Oreochromis niloticus: one gene and its partner. The protein of the gene in region 1 interacts with the protein of each later gene in a pairwise test. Links are inferred from orthologs where the notes say so. Each region holds a gene or a part of one and is shown on either strand. Other genes may lie near its edges. The genes, in order: dlc1 and rasa1a.

Region 1 (3,921 bases):
ACATGGCACTTGGTGTGCAGAGTGCATCATGTGACATGCAACAGCAGAGTCTTGTTGTACTTGGATGGCTTGCCCTTGAGTTCGACCATCTGTGTCCCCGGAGAGTCAACATTTATGGTAGTGCACAGTTTCCCAGTGCAGCCCCTAAGAAAAGACTCATCCAAAGCTTCGACTCACATCTGGATGACCCAGAGGTTAGAGGCTGGGGTTAGAGAGATAGTTGGAAGGGGCTTCATTCCAGTTTTCTCTTGTGCTTGGACTGTCCCTGTTGGTATGCAGCTGACCCAACTACGCCCCCCGCCCAGAAAAAAACCCCAACACAAAAACACTCATTATAAATCTGATCATGGCTGGATTTTTAGTGAAATTAGGAGATTACTTACATTTTGAGGTTTTCAATTGGTCCAGGCTTTCCAAATGAAATATTCAGCACCTACTTCCACTATGGGTTTAAAAACAAATTATGTCAGTTGGTCTTTGTGATATAAAGCGCAGTCATTGCCAGCTTTGCCCTTCCTTTCTGCAAAGTGTTTCACAGAGAAATTACTATATTAGGAAATGAATTGCTGGTATTTTGGTCCTAAATAATTTTTTTTCTTCCCACTTAATCTCCTTGAAAAGAAAATTGTCAGGTTCATAGCACTTTTAAAGCCGTCTCCATTATTATAAATGCTGAAATATGATTTACCATTTTAGTGTATTTTTAAACACCTCCCCCAACCAGATTAACTATAAAGATATCTTGCCTTGTATTTTTTTCATGAGTGCCAGTATTTTTATCTAAGAGTACTTGTAGTTACAAGATGACAAATTTGCTGCAGATATAACTGCCAAAACATTAGAGCAATCTCAGTTGGCTCGCAGCCCGAAGTCTTACGAAGCAGCCTGTCTGTTACTAATCAAAGCCAACTCCTCCTGCCCAGCTTGGTGAAATAGGGAGCTAAAGAAGAATGAAGAAAATGTCTCCTGAAAAGAGAAGCAATATTTCTGAAATAGCGAGTAGCGAGTGTACAGTAGAGGAGGGTGGAGTGTATGGTGTGCTTAGAGAGTTGTGAGACGGGGGATGGGGCTTCTAAGATGTGACTCAGACTCACTGTCAAAACCAGCGGGGAGGGGACCTGATGAGAAAAAAGGATAGAGCGGAGGAGAGAAGGGAGGGCCGGGGGAAAAGAAAACCCAGCCCTCTTACACCACCTCGACTCTTGAGCGTTCAGCGTCAGCAAAAACCATAATGTGATCAAGATGGAAGTTGTCCATGGACTTTTCACTGCTTCCCGGCTTTCTGCCTTCCTCTGGGGGCTTCAGTGCCTGTCCAACAGTTTTACAGCGAAGATACTGACTCGAGTCTAGAAAATGGCTCGTAGAAGCTTAAAGTAAGGACTTCTTGCTTGGAAAGAGTGAATTTAAATTTCCCAAACGTGGACAGATTTCATTTGATGGATGAATGAAAAGTCAGCTTGAGAAACATCTCTTGACAAACTGCATTTCAGGAACTAATTGATCTGCAATCTTCGGGTTGGATTACATATTCCACTTCTGGATTTCCACAAAAGCTTTTAGATTATGTTGCTAAACAATGTGTCATCACTGGAGTATTTATGAGAAGTAAACATCAGTGTTCCTCCACTGTAGAATGTGGAGTTCGGCTGTCAGCTGTTCGTTGGAGTGCAAGTAAGAGGAGCGACTGCTTTTTGGACCTTTCCCTTACTTTACATATAACCAAATCAGGTACATGTTTGTGCCAAAGGGTGCAAATGGCAGTTAGAACCATCATCCTTATGTCTTAAAATGAAATTTTGGGAAAAGAAACTCTTCAAGCAGGTCTTCCATTTTTAAAATACTTTCAATACACTTAACAAAGTCTGATTCTTTGTCACAGACTACTTAAGACGGCTATTCTATGTTGTTTTGAATTGTGTTATTTACGTAGTACAGAATGGTTCTCTTTAATCAAAAGCTTTTATTTGTCTGTCTCGACACATAGCAGATTTATGGAGTAGTGTAAATCTTGCATGATTTACACTATTTCTTCACATCTATACATTGAAATCAGCCACAAAAGGAAGAAAAAACACAGAGCAGTGTAATGCAGTACATGTTAGTTTGAATTCTGTGATAAGACCTGCACTTGGTTCTGTGATAGTGTTGGATTCTGTTCCAGTTTTACTTCAATCTACTTCAGTCTCTTATTTTTGAAGGTGAATGGGTGCAGAAAGACTGTTAACCAACACCCAGCACTTTTTCAGAAAGTTTTTTTTCACTGTTAAAATGGTGCAAATCTGACAAACGGCTTTGTTTACAGTTTCCTGTTTGTGATAAGATAAACAATCGGAGGGATGTCTACATTAATCTCAACGATTTAAGCTTTCTCAGTCTTAAAAAATTAAACAATTGTTAGAGATCAGAGTAGTTTACTTGTAGTTGCCAAGCTGAAATATGGAAAAACTCTGCTTCAAAAGAAATTGGTTTCCTGGGTTAAATTAATACACTTTGGTTGCTTACTTGAAAGTTGAAGCGTTATTTGTACGTTCAGCTCCTGCAAAGTGAAAACTTTGCAACACTGCCTCTTTCTTATCTCCTTTTCTCCTGTTGTTGTACCAGATCTGGTCCTTCTATTTAACCTGGCATCAAAAGCAGCTTTATGGGATAGCACTGGCTGCCCATTATGCCGGTAGCCATACGTAAAAGAAGCTGGGAGGAGCATGTGACTCACCCATCAGGATTACAGTACAGCTACGATGATCTGGATCTCGTCTGCTGTCATGGGGTCGAAGGCGATGGGCTATGGATGGGTTCTGCGGGTTCGAAACAAGGTAGACGGGCGAGGTGTTCCTCTATGCCAGAGGGATGCCACCAGCTGCCTATAGATGACCTTGCTCAGACTTGTGAAGGGGGAGCTTCTGCGATGAATGACGATACTGAACTGGAACACTTAAAACTAATGGAAAACAATGGAAAGGATTTGCAGGAGTCAGTGGATCGGTCTTATGAGTTGGTGGGTGCTGGCATACTCCCAAAAACTGACTCTGACTCACAGGATCTCCAAACCACAAACCCTGGGAATTTTGGAGAGTTTTGTAATTCAAACAGTGGTATGTCTAGTGCAAATATTTCTTGTGCAACTCGTAGCAGTGATAAGACTGATAATAAAAGTGATTTGGGGACAGAAAGTTGCCAGAATCACAGCATGTGCGATGTCAGTGTCTTAAAAAGTGCACATATCTCTCACCAACAATACGTCTCTATCTCTCCCAACAATGTGCCTCCATTGTCCGAATGTGCTGGTGAGCAACCTGGCAAAGTTCCAAACCATCAGGATACAAAGGAGAGCCATACAGAGGGTTACAGCAGACCTCCTGAAATCAGTGGGGTCACAGTAAACTGGTGCTCTGCCGGCGAACAGGAACCTCAAACCGACCTCCCAGATGTTGAGGACAGCAACACTGTCACCTCTGACCAGCCTGGTATGAATGCTCTGCAAAGCTCAGCAAATATGGAGGGTGGTGAAGCACTGTCGCTAATCAACAAAACTGTGGAATCATTAGTAGCAGATGGAGAATGTGGCAAAGGAATATCTGAGAGCCGGAGTGCATGTTCTGCTGACAAGCAAGATGGATTGAGTGACCTAGAAACTCTAAATGAAAATACAGGACTGAGCTGTCTCTCAAGAGTCACTATAGGAGAAGAGCGGGGCCATGAAGACTGTGCTGGACCATTGGATAAGGATCATGGTTGGGAAATATCCAACCAGACATTGTTGGAGCAGCACAATGTTGAAATGTTAGCGGAGAGCAGGCCCCAGGGAGAGAAAAATGCACAAGCAGAAAGCAGCGAGAAAACAGGACCCGTCAGGCCTATTAAATCATCTGATGTTGGTGTCATAAATCAGTGCTGCTCTTTAATGGCAGACAGCAACGTGTC
Region 2 (3,921 bases), on another chromosome or scaffold:
ATTTTGAATCACTGTGTTCTTGTATGGAAGCAAGAATAAGAGGTACAATAAAAAAAAAAACAAATCTTTTTGCAGTTGTAGATTAAAATGGGAGCTGTAAATAAATCCTGCCATTAAGTGTTTTTTTAATTACTCTTTTCTGTTTATTGTACAGAGCCGCTTATCTGATAACTAGTGAAACTTGTTCAGTGTTGCTGACGTGTTAAAAAACAGCAGATCAAAGGTGTAAACATTTCCTGCCACAGTATAGTAGTTCAGCAAGAGATTATTTGCAGAAAAATATCTAGAGGACTGATTTTACTCTGCTACTTGTCTTGTTTTCTGCGGCCACTGAGACCCTCTGACCCCTCTGGTAAGAAAAAACAAACCATTATGAGATTCTATATTTTATTTACGTAACAAGGACAATATCACATTTTATTCAACTTAATAAGATTTAACGTGATTGAAGATGCCATGGATTAAATTTGGGGGAAAAAAAGTTCCGCTCTGTGTTCACTTAGCTGTGTCTGATCTTTAACTGGAGAGGAGTGGGAGAGGGACAGTGTTGCCAACTTAGCGACTTTGTCGCTATATTTAGCGAGTTTTCAGACCCCCTAGCGACTTTTTTTCTATAAAAAGTCGCTAAAAAAAGACGTGAAAGCGCTTATCGCTTTTACTCTCAACAAGCAGCGGGTGCTGTAACACAGTCAGTTCTTCTTTTAATCTTTTACTCTTATGCTGTTTTGTGGATCACAAGGTTTAAAACTACTTATAAACACACACACACAAAGTAACTCCACCAGAGTGCCAATTTCGGGTCACTTTTGCCAGTCCAAGCCCGGGTAAAGGAGCAGGGTTGGAATTGTGACATTAAAAAAACAATAATTGCTAAAAGAAATTTAATTTGTAGTTCTAAATAAACTCTAAATGCATTTAAGACGTTTTTTACTCACTTTATGTCTCTTCCATGGTGTTATTTCTCTCTCCAACAACATAGGTTACAATTATATTAGCGTGACCAATTATGCAAATTAGGTGATGACGTCATTTAGCGACTTCTAGCGACTTTTAGGACAGCCAATAGCGATTTTCCTTACTGAGGAGTTGGCAACACTGGAGAGGGAGGGGAGACAAGAGCAGCGCAGCAGCGGGCAAGCCACCAGCCCCGAAACCCAGAAATAAAGCTTGTACGCAGATAATAAATGTTGGTAAACGACATGGCAGTACGCGGAGAACAACATGCCGCTCCGGGGATATAGGCGATAAGGCTGAAGTCGTCTGGGAACGCTACTGGAGACGGTTTAAAACTGAAGAAAACAACACTGGGAAAAAAGAAGGGGATTACACACAACAGTGACAATAAAACAACACTCATCGACAAGTGGTCTGCTTTGGTGCCGAGGGTGAAGTCCGAACATCCCCCCAGTCTCAAAAATACCAACAGGAAATATAGGTGAAGTGATATTCTGTTGGAAGTATTGTAACGGTTAATCTCAAGTAGTGTTTCTGCGTGAACTCTAAACTCAGGAAACAATGAAGACATAGCGAGCAAGAACTCATCAAGTGTCTCGAAGCTGCTAGCTGTCCCGCTAGCGTTAGCTCGGTGATTTTTGCAGGGAGCGAATGCGAGGCGAAGCTAACGCCCGCTAGTGCAGCCAAGTAAGCTAAGTTAGCTGTTGGCTAACATTAGCCGGCTACCTGAACGCGTTTTTGAGAAACTTTTGGTGTTGTTTCCCAGGAGCCCAAACACCGAGGGATTATTGTGAAAACAGAGGGGAAGGGCAGGTTCCCTTCTGGACTTTCTCCCCTCTACGTATTTTTCTACTATGATGGCAGCGGAGGTCAGCAGTGAGGATACGGGCTCGGTCGCGACAGGGACAGGGGTGGCAGGCGGAGGAGGCCCGGAGACGGCGGCCCCTTTCCCATACTATCCCAAGCCGAGCAGAGTCCGAACCACTGATTTGGGGCAAGTGCCGGCACCAGCCACCCGACAGCATTCAAACACATCTCCGGACTCCCTTTCAGAGATTAATATGATCTATTCCTCCATGCCTAGTGGGGATATGACCGGAGCAGGGAGTGGCGTAGCAGGAGGTGGATATTCAGTTTTTCAAGGAACAAGCTCAGGGACAGTGGGCGGCATGTGCTGCTCTCCAACTATGGAGGGTCCAGCTAGTCGGATCTCACCCACATCAACAGGCCCGGATGGGCCCACTGTCTTCCCACCACTTCCACCACCACCTCCTCCGCCTCCTAGCTGTGGGGGGCTCGGTGGCACTATGGATGAAAGCGACATGCAAGATGGGATGGAAATCGACGAAGAAGAGGTGACGTTCCCACTCTCTGCACCTCCCACTAACCAGTAAGTAAACCACAAGTTAAGTGACGTCTATGACTGCTAGAAAATAGAAACACTTAAGCAATTTATTTATTGTATTGCGTTTTCATAGCCTTCCTGTTTTGCACTTGAGGTATATTTGGTAGATGTGGCTTTGAAATAATGCCAGTTTCCCAAGATACATTACCTAAAATACATCTGTTGTGCGTTTGCACACCTGTTATTCTAGAAAGCACTGAAATAACTGAGATCAAATTGAATTGACAGGAGATTCAATATGAAATAGAAACCCTAGCAACACAGTAGTAATGCCTGTTCATTATTTTTACAGAGAGCTGATTCACTTATAGTAAATGCCCTTATAAACATTCTCACAATGGACTACTACATATCAATAATTGACTTGGACAGCTGTTGTCAGCATAGCCTCATTTCACAGGATCACCCAAGCAGAACAAGTATTATGTATATACACAGTAAACACAGTAATCAACACTGAGTAATACAGTGTAACAGTAACAAAATTGCTGTCAAAAACATGTGGGACAACTGGTAGTGCGGGCGCTTTTGTTCACGTTCATGCTGTTGTTGGTCCTTCAGCTTTGCCCATTCTGCAGAGAAGTCATGGTATACAAAGAACTTCTTTGTGATGCAGTGAAACTGAGCGATTAAGAACATTCAAAATTGTCCACTGCAGCAGTTGTCCAGGCTTATTTGAGCTTTGTTGTTGTTTTTAGATTTCTTTCAAGTGAACTCGGTAGGTTTTTCGTTTCCTGTTCCATGTAATCTTTCAGCTTAACATTCAGCCTCTATGTAGTGTGATTAACTCTGGGCACTGTTCCATTTTTTTGTAGTTTTTATGTTTTTGGAAGAAGATGAGAAATCATTAAGTTTGGATAAAGTCAGTATATACATATCGAGACACTTTCTTTGAATAGTTCTTTCAGAATTGAAGACACTTCTCAGATAAGAGGTGAAATGTCTTTAAGAAACTTAAAGAACTCCAGTTGCTTTTTAATCCAAGCTCCTTAGCCTCTCTTTCTTTTTCTGTTGTATCAAAAACCTAAATCAACAATTGTATGGAGACCAACTTCATTCCAGGTGCCGTTGGTGACAATTGTGACAATTTGAACTCAGGGGATGCACAAATACTTCCAAAGCAACTTTTTTTCTTTGATTAAACATAGCGTTTTTCTTGTTTTAGGCTTAAGTTTTAGGCTGGCAAGAACCCTTGGCACTATTGGCCCAGATACATTAAAATCAATGCCTGTGCATTTGACACAAAGCTATACACTTTACTATAAATAGTAGATAACAGAAAAGTGCATAGTTCTCTGTAATGCTACATGGGAAGTAGAAAATCTTGTTTCTGCTTTGCTGCACAACTGTCTACTTACAACCAATTTACAATGCTCTGAGAGAATGGTCATCGTGTCTAAATATTTTGCCTGTGATTGAAGTGAACTAAAACTTAAAACAAAGCATTTGCAAACCTTTTTTCTTTTCTTGTCTGTAGCACAGTAAATTCCGCCTAAGCACTGTACTTTAGAAAGCATCTGACTAATTGTGGGTACTGTCATGACTTTATCAGGCATGCACAG

Evidence for each region.
Region 2: the proteins of dlc1 (region 1) and rasa1a interact in binary tests that used the Homo sapiens proteins (3 or more experiments, as listed by UniProt). The link is inferred for Oreochromis niloticus from reciprocal best matches to the Homo sapiens genes DLC1 and RASA1.

Annotation. Positions count from the first base shown.
Region 1 is NC_031971.2:21,092,467-21,096,387, forward strand, and holds the start of dlc1 (rho GTPase-activating protein 7), read left to right. Parts: upstream 1-1,237; 5' UTR 1,238-1,671; intron 1,672-2,601; 5' UTR 2,602-2,665; coding exon 2,666-3,921. UniProt on the Homo sapiens protein: Functions as a GTPase-activating protein for the small GTPases RHOA, RHOB, RHOC and CDC42, terminating their downstream signaling.
Region 2 is NC_031977.2:16,144,594-16,148,514, reverse strand, and holds the start of rasa1a (ras GTPase-activating protein 1), read left to right. Parts: upstream 1-1,103; 5' UTR 1,104-1,808; coding exon 1,809-2,344; intron 2,345-3,921. UniProt on the Homo sapiens protein: Inhibitory regulator of the Ras-cyclic AMP pathway. Stimulates the GTPase of normal but not oncogenic Ras p21; this stimulation may be further increased in the presence of NCK1.